Linked DNA regions of Callithrix jacchus. The protein of the gene in region 1 interacts with the protein of each later gene in a pairwise test. Links are inferred from orthologs where the notes say so. Each region holds a gene or a part of one and is shown in the gene's direction. Other genes may lie near its edges.

Evidence for each region.
Region 2: the proteins of DEUP1 (region 1) and TXLNB interact in binary tests that used the Homo sapiens proteins (3 or more experiments, as listed by UniProt). The two-hybrid records come from large-scale screens. The link is inferred for Callithrix jacchus from reciprocal best matches to the Homo sapiens genes DEUP1 and TXLNB.
Region 3: the proteins of DEUP1 (region 1) and ESRRG interact in binary tests that used the Homo sapiens proteins (3 or more experiments, as listed by UniProt). The two-hybrid records come from large-scale screens. The link is inferred for Callithrix jacchus from reciprocal best matches to the Homo sapiens genes DEUP1 and ESRRG.
Region 4: the proteins of DEUP1 (region 1) and TBC1D22B interact in binary tests that used the Homo sapiens proteins (3 or more experiments, as listed by UniProt). The link is inferred for Callithrix jacchus from reciprocal best matches to the Homo sapiens genes DEUP1 and TBC1D22B.

The regions. Positions count from the first base shown.
Region 1 is NC_133511.1:46,998,574-47,002,637, reverse strand, and holds the start of DEUP1 (deuterosome assembly protein 1), read left to right. Parts: upstream 1-1,264; 5' UTR 1,265-1,389; intron 1,390-1,595; exon of another isoform or gene 1,596-1,807; intron 1,808-1,862; exon of another isoform or gene 1,863-2,063; intron 2,064-3,030; 5' UTR 3,031-3,074; coding exon 3,075-3,103; intron 3,104-4,064. UniProt on the Homo sapiens protein: Key structural component of the deuterosome, a structure that promotes de novo centriole amplification in multiciliated cells.
Region 2 is NC_133505.1:146,070,098-146,074,080, reverse strand, and holds the start of TXLNB (beta-taxilin), read left to right. Parts: upstream 1-1,183; 5' UTR 1,184-1,261; intron 1,262-2,104; exon of another isoform or gene 2,105-2,231; intron 2,232-3,824; exon of another isoform or gene 3,825-3,838; coding exon 3,839-3,983. UniProt on the Homo sapiens protein: Promotes motor nerve regeneration. May be involved in intracellular vesicle traffic.
Region 3 is NC_133520.1:12,250,467-12,254,515, forward strand, and holds the start of ESRRG (estrogen-related receptor gamma), read left to right. Parts: upstream 1-1,249; 5' UTR 1,250-1,305; coding exon 1,306-1,394; intron 1,395-4,049. UniProt on the Homo sapiens protein: Orphan receptor that acts as a transcription activator in the absence of bound ligand. Binds specifically to an estrogen response element and activates reporter genes controlled by estrogen response elements.
Region 4 is NC_133505.1:45,599,866-45,603,979, forward strand, and holds the start of TBC1D22B (TBC1 domain family member 22B), read left to right. Parts: upstream 1-1,314; 5' UTR 1,315-1,461; coding exon 1,462-1,517; intron 1,518-4,114. UniProt on the Homo sapiens protein: May act as a GTPase-activating protein for Rab family protein(s).

The DNA.
Region 1 (4,064 bases):
TCTCACTAGCCCTGTTTAGAAAGCTTTGCACCTGGCCACACTCGTCCTGTCCTTTAGACTGGGGCCTTCCTGTTCTCATCCCTTTCAAAACAAACTTACCTGAAAATATCTAATAATAAAGACATTTCAGGGTTAATTCAAGTCTTCACAGTTACTTCTTACTAGTAGGGTAGGGGACAGGTATTTGCATTTAAAATCTTAACTCTCATCCTGAAATGAAAACCTTTATTTGTATTCAATTGAATGGGGTGTTCCTATTCTATATTTAAATTTTCCTAAAATCCATTATAGCATGTGTCTTATCACACGTTTTCACAAGCCTTCCCCTGCACCTCTCTTCTGTGTAAAAACATGAAACCTACGGTTTACTAAGGAAGATCCTGGCTGCTAAAGAAACCAACTCAATCTTAATGTTTGGAGAACACTGGATTTGGAGTAAGATGATCTAGGTTCATGTCTCAATGAATCATCCATTTCAAGTGCAAGTAGATGGACAAATCCATGGACATATCCTTCATTCTCTCTAAGCCTGGGTTTTCTAATCTTCTGAAAGGAGCTATTAATAACATCTGACACACTTGCTAAGTGTATAGGGTATTTCTGAACCTCTAAAGTAATAATGAACATGGAGGTACTTACCAATGTTACATAGCCTTAGTGATCTTGGGCATCTGAGATTTCACTAAATTTCATTCCTTGTTCCATTTTCCCTTCCTTGGGTTAGAAAAAATACATTGACCCAGTCAATTCAGACAAGAATAAAAAATATAACTAAGAGTTTTCAGAATAATGAAAAGTTTCAGGTTAAAATGGCATGATCACTCTCTTCATGCAAACATGAGAGCTATGAAACACTTATTAGAACTAATATCCCAGGTTACTCTATTCATCTGTGAAGCTCAATTTGTCAAGAAACAGCATAATGGTTTTATAAAATCCAGAGGGAACCTGGGTGGAGGGATGTGGGTGAGCATTAAATTGATAGAATATTAAAGTAGAAAATGAGCGTTAAAGTGATGAAAGTAGAGTGCAAATAAAAGACTTTAAGAATAAAAAGTAGTCAACTCCATGTATTAGGAAGGACTTCTGTGGCTAAAATAAATCAAACACAAAATTCAAGTGCTTAAAACAGATCACTCAAGGTGTCAGTTGGAAAACATATATTCTTTCCTATCATTTCCTCTATGAAATGAAGAGAGAAATTTGTCATCAATGACTCTTGGAATTTGGTGGGAAAAGGAAGGAATTTGGAATCAGTCCCACTGAGTTTCGTTCCAGCTTCTCCACTTAGAAGCCATTCATTCCCTTCTCCCTGAAGGGAGGCAACACTGTCCCGCTCGCCTGACTGGCAGTTTTCTAAGAACCCATCATAGGTGACGGGAAAGCCAGGTACAAGCTGGAGTCACCACAGAAACCAGGGACTGAGCAGTGAAATCCAGCTCCTCCCAGCTGGAAGACAGTCGGGTGAACGGAAAGGAAATCAGTTCTCTTTACCCCACGTTTCTTTTTCATACCACTTCAAATTTGAGTAAGAGGAAAGAGGGCCAAGGGGATTTAAAGAACCTGGCTGACAACTCCCCAGCGGTCTACAGTACCTTTGTGATCGCCTTGTTTCATTAAGTCAACAAGTATTTCGGGCTGCAGCTGGGTGCTGGGCCCTGGGGTAGCAGTGGGACTACAAAGAAGAAAATCCCAGAATACAGGGGACACTGGACACATAACTGCGGGATAGCGAGGTCGCGCTGGCGCGGGGCGAGGTTGGAGGCAGCCGAGGAGCCCCCGCAAGGGCCGCGTCCGCCGCCGCCTCGCCCTTCCCCCACCCCGACAGCCGCGAGTTTGCCCGCGACGTCCCCATGGCAACCAGCGGCGGCGCGGCGCGCTGGGAGGGAGAGCCCCAACAGCCTAGAGGGCCGCGCGGCTGGAGGGCCTAGGCGGCGGGAGCTCGGCGGCGGGTGGCGGGCCCCCTTGGGGCGGGCCTGGCCGGGCGGGAGGTGACCTACGCGGTCCTGCGCCCCGGGCCTCAGACCTCTCGGGCAAGCGCGGCGCGGTGCGGTGCAGCGCAGGTAATGGCTCTGAGCTTCCCCGGCCCTTCCTCGCCCTTGAACCTCACCCTCTCCCTTCAGCCGGGCTGGCGCGGGATATCCAGCGGGACAGGGGGGCCCCGAAAAGGGCGGCTGCTCTGCAGGAGGCTGGGCTTGAACTGAGCGCGGGTCCCGTCGGGGCGCGTGGCGGGGAAACAGAGGCTGGGAGGGGAGGCCCGCCCTTGGAAATGCAGAGCAGAGCTGCGCCCTAGGTTAGAAGGCCTGGGCTCTAGTCGTGTGGCCTTGGGCAAGTCACTTAACTTGTCTGTGCCTCAGTTTCCCTGACGTTTAAGTGAGGGATTTGAGAACCTACAAAACCATTTATTCGTCTGCTCGTTCTGGTCAAGTTTTTTTTTCACCATCCCTGCTCGTCTCCAGTCTGCCCCGCACACAATTCCTGGGTCTCGCTTAAACTCTTCGATTTGGAAGTGTTGTGAGTCTGAATCTTCCTCCTCTTTCTACTCCCTTGAATCCTTTTTAATTAACTTTTATTCAGTGATTCAGAGGAGTTTTCAATACTTTCTCCAATTATCGTCATAGAATATTTTTTAGCTAAAATTTTGTTACCGTGAAAAACTTTTTTAAAAATTTTAACTTTAGGCAAGTACTAACGTCCCTAAAATTAGCCGGGTGTGGTGGCGTGCGCCTTTAATTCCAGCTATTCAGGAGGCTGAGGCAGGAGAATTGCTTGAACCCAGGAGGAGGTTGCAGTGAGCAAAGATTACGCCACTGCACTCCAGCCTGGGCGACAGAGCGAGACACGTTCTCAAAAAACAAACAAACAAAAAACTCCACAAAACAAATTCAAGTTTCTATATTTTTTAGGACCAAGAGCTACTACTATACAGAAAAACTCATACTAAGTGGTTTTTGCAGTAGGAACATTTTTATGTTTTATAGGTTAATGAATATAAACATTTTAGGAATTTGTGTCATTTTCCTCCAACAGGTTAAAAATCAAGAAATATAAACCAGATGTAGCAGTTTCTTGACATGGAGAACCAAGCCCATAATACAATGGGGTAAGTGCTGGGAAATTTCTGTTTAAATAAGTGCATACTTAACTATGCCAAAAACTTCCTGAGAACACATGAATTTTGGAATTTACTGTTAATAGAAGGATATGCCAATTGTTTTCGGTGAGGCGGATGAGAGGAAATACCAAGTGACTGTAATCAAGGATTATAATGTGAGTCTTTCTGATTTTGACACTACAGATCTGCACTCAAAAATCAGTTTTCCAACTTTTAGTGACTGTCTGATGTCTAAGGGTGATGGATACCAAGGCAGGCCTTATGTGCTCTTATATTACCACAATGCAGCCTCTTCGCCAGCTTGTTCCTTTTTTTGCTGCATTGAGTATCTCAAGTTTCCCTCTATTCTTGTCCATTAAGGCTGAACTCAACACTTAAACATAGCCTCAGAATAGATCCAACTCCATAAAAACATCAACAAGAAGTAAATATTTTACCAAAAGTTTCACGAAGAGATGAGGAATAAAATTTGTATAGCATTTGTCATTGTAGAAAATCAAATTCCTGTTTACAAATATCTGTCCTAACTGTTTACCTGCTACCAGCATCACAGTTTTCTTTTCCTGTTATTTCACTAGTCAACTGACCACTGGCTGAACATAGAGTTTGGGAGATGAGAGGATGAAGAGGTAGTTGTATAGTGCCTCATCTTGACTGTGACTGACTTTGGCACTAACCACAACCACTTCAGGTGTCTCACTTTCAGAGATTCTGCCCAGACCATGACTTTGATGTCAGGCTGAAGGAAAGCTGCAAAGTTTGGACAATAATCATTCCTATCACTTTTTAGCTCCTACTGCATACTCCTTCTTACAACAGCCCAGTCAGGTATTACTCTTATTTTACAACTAAGAAAAGTAAGTATATTACAGTCTAAGCTCTTATAACAAACAGACTCCAAAAACAGTGGCTTAAATAAGATTAAAGATTATTTCTGTTTCATATTGTT
Region 2 (3,983 bases), on another chromosome or scaffold:
CTCTAGAATCTGTTTCCTTGCCTTTCCCAGCTTCTAGAAGCTTCCTGACCTACGCTGAGGTCATCAAATCTCTTTTTTTCGCCTGCAATCCTACTGCCTTCCTCGCTCATTTATAAAGACCCTTGTGATTACACTGAGCCCACCCAGATAGTTCAAGATAATCTCCCTACATCAGGGTCCTTAATCACATCTGCAAAGCCTCTTTTGTCATGTAAAGTAACATACTCAGGTTCCAGGGAATGGGACAGATCTTTTGTGTGGCATTATTCTGCTTACCACAAGGGATGCCACTATGTCCAGCCTGTCCCCAGAGCAGAAACTGATGGAGGAATCTGCTTTGGAAGTATGAGAACACAAGCTCAGAAAGAAAAAGAAAAGAGGAATGGATGGAAATTAACAGAGAGGCATTTCATGGTGAATCAGAAAGAGGTTCTTTTTCTGAGGGGGATCAAGAAGCATTTTGAGAATTTACAAAGCCGGGGAAAGCCACAAACTAAGGAAGAAAAAGCAGACTGCTTCCCTACGGGTTTGTTTGAACACAGTTACCTGGGAAAGACGGCTGCGAGGTCACACCAATTACAGCATGCATGAAGATTATACTTAGTTCAGTTCCAAAATCACCATCTACATTTTTATTTCAAACTTTGCAGACAAACCAAACAATGACATCATAATTAAAATGGTTCCACCACCTCCCTGTGCTGATGCCATTGTTTTTCTTTTTCCATGATTCCTATAAGAAACCTGACACTAATTAAGCTAGCGCAAGAAGCAGCAGAAGAAAAAAGATGAATCATCCACCACTCTGCAGATAAACCAAGAAGTAAGAAAAACTGATCTCTACCCAAAAGGATAATGGTGAAAGATTGCATTCGCAAAGGGGGTGATATACTCAGAGCTTAAATTTCCAAAGAGACAAACAACATGGAGAGTCCGATGAGCTCTACCAGCTGCTTCTCTCTGCTAAGACGTTTCCCCTGGCGACAGCTAGGGAAGCTTGGGTGTATTTTCCCCTTGCTGTGTCATACGATGTGCCTTTCCCTACCCCCACCTCCTCCAGACTGCTGCCTCCATCAGTGCCTGTGGCGTGCGTGTGTTTGTGTGTGTGCATGTGTGTGTGTGTGTGTGTGTGTGTATCGGGTTTCTCTCTCCCTTGTAAGAACACCACCAGCCCGCCCCTCCTGCTGTTGCTGCAGCTCTGACTTGCTTTTTCCTGCCTCTTTCCTCTCCTCTCTCTTCTTGCTTAGCTCCTTGCCTTCTGGTAAGTATGACAAACACTCCCCCAAGCCCTGTGAGAAGACGTAGTGTGCGGTTTGTGGTGTTCAGAACTTGCAACTTTGAGATTGTCAGTGAACTGTTGGAGAACTTTTCATTGTTGTATTTATAAATAAAGTGTGTTCCTCAGGGCGGGATGTGTCTGTGATAGTCATCTGGAATAGCCAACACAAGTGAAAAGTTCTCTCCCTGGGGAGGGGAAAATAAGGCAATTAAGTTTATTTAAGAAAAAAATTAGAAATAATTTCTTTGCTACATAATATAAAACTAATGATTTGAAAGTAACAAAGTTCTTTGACTATGTTGTTTTTTTCCCCTCTTATGAACTTGTCTTGAGGCTACTTGTAGAAATTGAGTTGTCCCGGGGTTTATACTGACTATTCTGTTTTAAAGTAAATGTGGAACAGGAGTTTAAAGAGTAGCCCTGGAGTTAAGAATTAAAAACATTAATGACTGTGGCATCTGATAAAGAATGAATCAAATACAAACAACCACTTGGATTTAGACTAACCAAAGTGAAACTCCTATGGACAGTCTACTTTCAATTAATTATTTTGAAGTTTGTTTTACATGAGATTTTATTTCTTCCCATGGTAGTCTCCTGAGCATTAAAACCCACGTGCGGATTTAAGCCAGTAAATGTTTACTGTTTTCAATTTGATTGAAAAATTATTCTCTTGATTTTCAAGGATGAAGTGCTAAATGCCATGACTCATTTTAGAAGAGCTTAAAATAGCTTCTGGCTGGACAGCAGGTGCCATGTGTCTTTCTCTGAGTTTGGGGTTGGGGCGGGGGATAAGTTATATATAGATGAGCGCAATCAACAAGCAGAGGTCAGGGTGAGAAAATCCCAGTGACGAAGATAATGAAACTGTGTGCTGCATTATTTGGTAATCAAGTTGGTGAATTCAAATCAGTGAAAGGAAAAAGTACTTCCTCCAAGTTATGAGTGCTTGGTGAGCATCACGAGTCGGTGGCAACGTCTCTGTGTTGAGTTTTCTGTTCTTGTTGGTGTCCGAGCATTTGATTGACATCTACTGCCCTGAGAACAGGAAAAGGAAGCTGTGCAGTTTGTAAAACTGTATGTTTTTGTTTTCACTTTCATGTTACCACAACAGCAAAATCTGTGAGTTATGAGGATCTTGCCATATTTTTATGTTGCTAATTGGCAGCGTTATTGCTAAATATTATTTACAAATAAAATGCACCATAACTTAAAGGGCTAAACCAAATCTATTGCAACCCTAGAAGTCATAATAGTCAGAAACCCTGGAATCTCTGACTCACTTCCATCTCTAACCCTTTCCTAAGAGCCATTATTAGTTGAATTATTTCTCCAGTTGGTTTCCTCCTTGTTTATGAAACATTGCTACTTCTTAACAATTATTGTTTTTCTAGAGCTTCCTGACTTAGAGAAAATTGTAATCTGCTTTTTCTTTTTAAAAGTTGGTTTATATATTGCAATAAAAGAGTATTATAGAAGTTTAAGGAATTGTTGGTATAAGCATCACCATGTTTCTTTTCTATTTTTCTTTCTTCCTCTTTTTTTTTTTTTTGAGATGAAATCTTGCTCTGTCTTGCCCAGGCTGGAGTGCACTGTCGCAGTCTTGGCTCACTACAACCTCTACTTCCCAGGTTCAAGCAATTCTCATGCCTCAGCCTCCCAAGCTGGGTATACCAGTGCCTGCCACCACACCCAGCTAATATTTGTACTTTTAGTAGAGACGGGGTTTCACCATGTTGGCCAGGCAGGTCTCCTGGCCTCAAGTGATCCACCTATCTCGGCCTCCCAAAGTGCTGGGATGACAGACATGAGCCCCCATGCCTAGCCCATGTTTACAGACTACTTGGTTTATTTATTTATGTCTTCCCTTATTCTCTGTCTTATTCCAAAAATGATGCCAGTTCTAACCTCAGAAAAAGTATTCGTGTTGCTTTTCTGAAAAAGAAAATGCCAGAAAAGTGAGAAAGCACTCTTGTTTCCAGTGTAATAATGCATTTACATCAAAATATTCATACTAAGCAGAATATTGAATTATGGATCAAATAGAGCTTACAGATGTTATGAATCGTTTAAATAAATTCAATGGGTCTTCTATTAAATATTTTAACTTTGAAAGAAAACTAATGCCATTTTAGATTTAAATATTTTAAATATATGCAGTCATGTGTCTCCAGTGATTATTAATCTATAGAATTATAAAGGAAAATTATAATGCAAACTGGCTAGTGTAGGCAAAATGACAAAATATGGTCACAAAAAAACAACAGAATGAATTAATTTCTCAATGTGAATAATAAGGAATACCACTGAAAATTGAAGATCAAAACCAAAAATATGCCAGTAGTATAACTTGACTTGGTAAAAGAACTTCCACTGTTTCTACTTTAATAATTGTAACATGAATGGTTTGTGAAAGGACATTCACTCTATGGTAGAAAGCATAATTAGTTGGTATTCACTTGGGGGATATCCCTGCCATTGAAATGTAGCATTGATATGCAGCAACTAGGTTCGCTACATAAAGCCTAACTGTGCTTACCTCTAGATACTACTCCCAAGATGGAGGCTAATCACTCTGAACAGCTTGCAGCTGAACAACAGTCAACACCTCCAGGGGACAGCTCATCATTACCCAGTCACAATGGTCTGGAGAAGGAACATGGCCAGGATTCTTCAACCGCAGTACAATCACCAGAGAAAGAGG
Region 3 (4,049 bases), on another chromosome or scaffold:
TCTCATTTCTTGCTTTAGAAATATCTTTATCTCTAAATGTACAGAAATTAAAAAGGAAATAATGTGATGAACTGCTTCTTTAAGACAGGGAAAGAGAAGTTCTACACTGGTCATTTGGATCTGGGGAATATTGGCTGGTAGGGAGGGAAGTAGGAGGGAGATCGAATCCCCAGGCTGTATTTTCCTAGCTTTGTGTGTGATTGACAAAGGCCCAAATAGCCTGTAGATGCTGGAGGATTACGTGGGTTGGGAGAGTTCAAGTCACCATCGAGCTTCTCCCTCCACATTAGCCTGGGGACTGAGGTTTTTTTCAGGAGTATGTTCTGCTGCTTCTCAGTGATGCTAAGGAAAGAAAACTATCAGCAGCATGTTGATTTTAGTTTATCATATGTGTAGAGAGTTTGATAGTTTTACTCTGTTTAGATAAATAACATGGAATAGAGGAGATATATAATGGAAAGGTAGAGAGCTCACTAGTTCAAACTAGGGAAAAGTCTGAAATATAAAGTTTAGGAAAGTAGGATGTTTTGTTAATCACTAGTACATAATGTGGATATCCTCACATTGTTTCTAGGTAGAGGTCTTTCAGAAATTTCTTTAACAGGGCTGGGCACAGTGGCTTATGCCTATAATCCCAACACATTGTGAGGCCAAGGTGGGCAGATCACCCAAGGTCAGGAGTTTGAGACCACCCTGGCCAACATAGTGAAACCCCCTGTTTACTAAAAATACAAAAATCAGCAGGGCATAGCGGCACGTGCCTGTAGTCCCAGGTTCTCGGGAGGCTGAGGCAAGAGAATCACTTGACCTGGGAGGTGGAGGTTGCAGTGAGCCGAGATTGCTCCACTGTACTCCAGTCTGGGCAACAGAGTGAAACCCTGTTTCAAAAAAAAAAGAAAAAGAAAAAGAAAATTCTTTAACAGATATGTTAGATATTTTGTAATTAATTTCCTTTAATAAATATTTTTGGGAGTCTACTTGATTTCCAAACCCTGCTCCTGACCCTGAGGCTAGAGTGGTGACAAGGAGAGCCCCAGCACTCACAGACCTTAATGTCTCGTGGAGGTGTTCTGTGATTACGTAACTATACAAAGAGGAACATCCGGAATTCCAGAGGGTGGTGATAGGAAGAAAAGAAATTGAGGATATGATAGAGAACAACTGAACAGTCAGAGGAATATTGAACTTTAAGGGGTAACCTTTGAGCCAAGAGCTGAACAAGGAGGAGGAGCTGATCCTGTGAAGATTTGAGAGTAGAATGTTCTTGGCAGACAGAAGAGCAAGTGCAAAGGCCTGGAGGTGGGAATGAGCTGCGGTGGTTCAAAAAACAGGAAAAGAAAGCAACACGACTGGAGCCTAGTGAATGAAGGAGTGTTTGGACTTGAAGCTGGCAGGTAAGCTGAGACCCGATTGCATTCAGCCTTGTTGCCCGCAGTAAGGCGTGCGCAATGCACTGTGTGTGTGATGGACAGCCAGAGTATCTGCTTGCAGACAGTACGTTGAAATTCTTAAGGTTTATTGAAGTTCTGTCCCTGTAGTATTCCTTTCATCTTTAATTTGCTCGGCTAATCTTTCCTTACATATAGTATGAAGGAAAATTCAGCCTATATTGGATTTTCACAAGAATTCTGAAACCATTCTGGTTTGAATGAAATAAAATGCTATTTTGTGTTGGATGGTATTGAAAGGCTGCCCTATCTGCACTGGGCCCTTAATCTCATTTTGGGTGAGGAATTTTCCTTGAGCAGTTCAGAAGAGGGTAACGTTCTGTTTTGTGCATTCTTTGTATCATTGCTTAATGCAAAGATCCCAGCAACCGCTTCGAACCCTAGAATGCCTGCCTTGTCGTAGACTTCCAGGCAATGGCTGGGGTTTGTAGTCACATACAGTGCAGATGCCCATTTGTATCTGTAATATCTGAGCCTGCCTAATGATCACGCCGCAGCCGGGAGTTGTTGGCGGAAAGCTGTCTTCTGGGCTTCTCGTTGAACATTTCATTCTCCAGTGTTTGTGTTGCCCCTCCTCTTAGGGCTTCCTGAGCTTGCTCTGATAAGTAAAGCCAAGTTTACTTTGTTAAGCTCAGCAGTTCCCAGCAGTAAATAGATAAGAAGGGGGAAAAAATTAAGTATCTTTGGGAGAAAAGAAGCTGTTTCTGTTTACAACAGACACTTTGTCCGCTTTTTCATGACTTCGTTTAATTTTCGCGGTCTGATACGACATTTACCATGATATCCCCTAAACTTTGAAGTTTAACAGAGGGTTTGATTAAGCTTCTTGTCTCTGGTGGAATCATCACATCTGCAGGTAGAACCCTCTGAGTTATTTGAGGAATGTCAGTTGCACTATGTCATCTGTGGGAGAGACGGTTGTTGTTTATCTTGTTTAGAGAATTAAGAAATGATTATCTAACTGATCATCAGTTGGGGGGTGATGATCGCAGCTGCAGTAAATACCCTACTAAAACTTGTAGCCCTCTCATGAATTTTCAAAAGAGTTACTGCTGACTGAGTCCCTTGGTGCTAGGGGCATTTTTGAAATAATCTTTAACACTTATAGCAACCCTGAACGGTAGGTACGGTCACTGTGCTCGTTTTGCAGGTGAGGAAACCGAATCATCAAGAGGTTCAGGGATTTCCCCCGAGTGGAGATGTGAACCCAGGCTCTTTGCATCAGGCCCACTGCCTCCTCCCTCTTGTGCCCTGGGCTCTGTGTATCCTCCTTAGAACAAATGCTCAAGTGTCCAACCAAGAACGTAATTGGATCCTGCAGAGAGTTGCTTTTTTTTTTTAAACTAAATAATGATCCGTGCCTGGTAGCATGCTGCCAGAGCTGCAGAGGATGGTTGGTGTAGATGGCATGTCAGGGGCATTTAGTTTAACCAGGACGTCCACTGTCCTCATCCTCAATTCCCCAAGGCACTTCTTACTCTTCAGGGTGTTTTTTTCTCTTCTGCAACTCTGAGTATTTCTCCAAATGAGATTCAGTCTATCCCCTGAGTAAATAGGCCAGCAGGGACCAGCTGTACAGGGTTCCACCGCCTGCTGTTTCCTCTGTGAATCATGTTCACACCCTCCATTCCTTACAGCTGAGCAATCAGATTCTATCCATATCACCTCAGACCTATAATCTCATTCTTTCCATTCTTTCTTCTATAGTCTCCTGACACACACACACACACACACACACTTGCACACACACAACCACACACTTGCACATACAGCCACAGCCACATAAACACACACGCATCTCTTTGCCTAAGTAACGTTTAGCTTAAAAAAGAGCTTGGCCTGGTGCTACAAGAGTCATGGTCTTTCACAAAGCACTCCATGAAGAATAACATGCTGGGTCATGTCTCCTGTGGTCATTTCCCATGACAGAGATCCCCTGCAGTGCTGCATTATGTAGCACTGGTAATCTATGCCAGATGACATGGGCCTGGGGCACACAGAAGACTAAGGGAATAAGAGGGTACATGATTCCAGGTATGTTTTACAAAGCTCAGAGAAACGTGGTTACACATACACACAAACATGCAAATAAACAGATGTATATGATTATGCACAGGTGGTCCCTTAAAACTGGTCCCTTAAAAAAAAGCAACTCCAGCACTGTGCTTTTCACACAAAGGCCATTCACAAATGCTTGATGAAACAATGACAGCCTTGTACTGTTTCAACAAGTGGGAACGTGCAAACAGGATGGAGTTCAATTGGCCGGCAGTCATTGGGAACCACAGGCCAAATGTGTCAACAGTAGAGAACTGCCACTAAAAAGGCTGGCAGACCCAGCGCGATACATGTGGTCGTGTAGTAGATCCGCGTGTTCGGGGAGGTAGAGCAGCCTCTGAATTGAGTGTCATTTCAGCCATTAGTGTTGTGTTTCATATGGAGCGACACAGCCGTTTCAAAAGCTCTCATGCTTCCTTAGCTGGTGGAAGTTTCAGAAACGATGGGACTATGTACCAGCTCACTACAGAACTCTCAAAGATGACAGGAATAGGTCCAGCTTTGAGAGTTATGTGGGCAATACATGGGAGCATGAACAGAGAA
Region 4 (4,114 bases), on another chromosome or scaffold:
AAGTTCTGGCTGTCCAGAATACAGACAAAACATCCACCTTAACAAAGCCTTAGTACATTCCTCTTTGGGTTTTGTGTGCAGTGGGTCACTGCATCTTAAGAAAAAGAAGCGCCAGAGAAAGGCAGGTAAAATGATTAAAAGAATAGAGGGGTGACTGGGAGCTGGAGGACATATAAAGAAGGTCCTTCTTTGGCTGGGGCCAGGGTTCAGGTCCTTAAGCATTCTCCAATGTGTGGAAGGACCCATGGGATCAGGTCTTCAAGTATTCTCCAATATTTGGACTTACATGTGGTAGCTGTGAATGGGGGGTGGGTGAGGGGGTGGGGGACACGCAGCCCACCTCAACAGTCCTTGAATGGGACAAAAACCACTCTAGACTGGTGCCTGCTTTCTCTCCCCAAATCACCACGGAATACAACCATAGAAACTCAAAAACAGTAAAAAACACCGACAAGATATTTTAAATGCTAATATTAAATCTCATTGTGAAAATTAGATTGAAAATAAATCCAAGGATGCAAGATTTATAATAGATTAACAAGGGAAATTAAGGATGTTGGTGGGTGAGGAGGAGATGTATCCTTAACTTTGTGATTCACACGATGGAGCTATACTGTGTCCTTCAGAGAAATGGTACTTGGTAATCTGAGTTGGACGGCTATCATAAACCATTTCCTATACACTGTTAGCATAGTCAGAAAGTGAGAGTTATGAATTGACATCGGGATTAGATAATTTGAATTTTTCACCCACAGCACAATTCCTTCCATCGTTTTCAATAAACAGAGCGAGAGGGAGACTCTGATGAACTGTTGCTCACGTGCTGAACCGTTAGCAACCCCGGGCTATCGGATCCCTGATGACCTTCCTTCAGAAAAACGAACGGACATCTAAACGGAACGAGGAAGGGGAGGGTAAATAACCAGAGTGTCCCTGAGTTGAGAGATGTTAAAAATGGAACACAATCAACACATGGGCCCTTACTTTTAGGTTAAAGATTCCTATACATAAATACATCTCGCCCTTGCCAAAAAATATTAGATTCAGGAAATTCATTCCTCACGAAGAAAATAATCCCCTCTCTTCCATTCCTTAGGTCCCTTACTTTACCTGCTTCTTTCCTCTCGAGGGCAGGAACTTTGAGCCCCGCCTCTCTGCTCCTTCAAGCTCCGCCTTCCCCGTCCACCTGTATGCCCTGCCCCTGACGTTACCCGTTGGCTTCAGTGGCTTGCAGGATTCCGGCTTCTGATTGGCCGGCCCGGCCACGGCTTGCGCAGCCCACCAATGGCAGCGGCGCTGGGTGGAGGGGTGCCCAAATCCAAGATGGCGTCCCCAGGAGCTGGGAGTGGGTGACCGGCAGCGGGGAAGCGGCCTGGGTTGGCCCTCAGATTGCGGGGTCTGGGGGCATCTCTCCAGGCAACCCCCCTGGCCCGCCTACAAGGCCTTCCCCCGGCCAGAGCAATGGCCGCTGAGAACAGCAAGCAGTTTTGGAAGAGGAGCGCTAAGCTGCCGGGGAGGTGAGCCCAGGACGCTGAGAGGGAAAGGGGATTGGACCAAACCCTTCCAGATCCTAATCCCTAATCCCGCGGGCCTGGGGCGCCACCGAGGCCGGAAGACTGGTTTGGGGAAGCCAGGCGGGGAAAACTGGGGCTGCCTGGTGGCTGCAGAGCAGCTGTCAGGCAGAGGAGAGAACAGCGAGCTTTGGGGACGGCTGGATGTGGGTGTAGACCGGGGTCTGGGGGCGGAGGTTTCAGGAGGGGTGACCTCAGCTGGAAGGTGGCCGAAGATTGGGCGTAACCCGCAGTGGAGTTGGGAGATAAGTCAGTGTCGGCCCTGGTCTCGGAGGTTCATCCCCAGAGCTGCTTCCCACTCTAATCAGAACTCCCTCTCAGTGGTCTCCACCACGCACAGGTGGTTGCTTGCTTGAGGATGGCCCCTTCCCTTGTTCCCCTAGCTGGACAATTACCCGAAGGATTCTGGTGTGAGTTTGTGGCTTCTTGCCGAGAGGGTTAGGTAAGAAAAGTGAGGACAATTCTCAAGCCTGACCTTACTTTATCTTGAGTTGGCCCTTTCCCACTAGGAATTAATACAAGGCGACCACAGAATCAGGGTTATTCCTTTGGCATTTTCTAAGGATTTGTCCAACCCCAAGTGACTTCTTCCTTCCTTGCATTGTAATGCTCTTCTTGTGCAAATGTACTAAATTCTTTCATTCTTCAGTTGTTTCGCTGGAGAGCAGACCTCCTCAGACTACCCCCCACCCCTTTTTTGGTGTATGTTGAGACTTTTAGCAAATTACCCATCCATCAATCTATTGGTTTACTGTTTCAGTTTATTTTGGGGAGAGTCCTGAGAAGTATAAAGTAGAGTGTGTATTTCAGTCGTGAATTTAAGATTTCTGCCAGCCACAGTCTACTTGGTGATGAAATTCATGTTTGGTTGTGCCCCACGTGCTACCTTTTCTAGTGGATTCAGGTTTTTTCCTTGTGAGATCATCTTTTGAACTCGTGATTTTTTTTTGAGACGGAGTGTCTCTGTTGTCCAGGCTGGAGTGCAGTGGTGTGATCTCAGCTCACTGCAGCCTCAAGCGATTCTCCTGCCTTAGCCTTCTGGATAGCTGGGACTACAGATGCGCGCCACCATGCCTGGCACATTTTTGTATTTTCAGTAGAGACGAGGTTTCACCATATTGGCCAGGCTGGTCTCGAACTCCTGACCTTGTGATCCGCCCACCTCAGCCTCCCAAAGTGCTGGGATTACAGGTGTGGGCCACTGTGTCCAGCAGACTTTATTTATTTATTTATTTATTTTTAAGCAAGAGAGAAATGTGGGTCAATAGTGGCTAGATAAGAGCCTTAATTTTTTCTTTTTTTAATGAAATAGAGACAAAGTCTCACTCACAATGTTGCCAGGGCTAGTCTGTAACTCCTGGCCTCAAGTGATCCTCTTACCTTGGCCTCTCAAAGTGTTGGGATTTCAGGTGTTAGCCACCATGCCCCAGCAAGTCTTATTTTATTAAGGATCCTATTAGACATATGGAGAATAGGGTGGAAATCAGCTTTTAGTAATATTTATTAAAATAATAGGAATGCAAAGATAACTTCAGATTAAAGTGCTGTGGATTTACAGTGTTAATATTACTGTTAAAGATGTTCTATGTCTTTAGGTAAGCACCACTTCCTGCCAGCTGATTCGTTTTCCTTCCTGGTCTAGTGAGCTCTCTGGTTGTGCTGACTGCTATTCTCTGGGATTTTCCATAGTGAGATCATTAAATTTTGACATCCTAAGATTATAATCAGAATCAATAGGAAAACTTGTATCAGGAAGCAGTGTAAGAGATGTGCGACATGGCATGGCCTTCTCTGCCTTCTGACTGGTGGTTGCTATTAACAGTCTTTTTTCCCCATATCTCCTGTGTTTGACTATAGAAGAGTCAACATTTTAAAAGCACTACTTTTCTGAGATAGGAAGAGAAGTCTTTTCAGTTTCCTCAAGTTTCTGGATTCCCTTTTCATTTTGAAGAATATGGAGAAATTGAGAGAGGGCCGGGAACAATGCCTCACACCTGTAATCCCAGCACTTTAGGAGGCTGAGGCGGGCAAATCACGAGGTCAGGAGTTTGAGACCATCCTAGCCAACATAGTGAAACGCCGTCTCTACTAAAAATACAAAAATTAGCTGGGTGTGGTGGCGCTGTAGTCCCAGCTACTCGGGAGGCTGAGGCAGGAGAACAGCTTGAACCTGGGAGGTGGACATTGCAGTGAGCCGAGATCATGCCACTTCACTCCAGCCCGGTGACAAAGGGAGACTCCATCTCTAAATAAATAAATAGACAAAGCAAGACTCCATCTCTAAATAAATAAATAAATAAGTACATAGAAATAGAGAACTTTTGCCGGGCACGGTAGCTCACGCCTGTAATCCCTGCACTTTGGGAGGCTGAGGCGGGCAGATCACGAGGTTAAGAGATCAAGACCATCCTGGCCAACCTGGCCAAACCCCGGCTCTACTAAAAATACAAAAATTAGCTGGGTGTGCTGGCGTGCACCTGTAGTCCCAGCTACTTGGGAAGCTGAGGCAGGAGAATTGCTTGAACCCGGGAATTGGAGGTTGC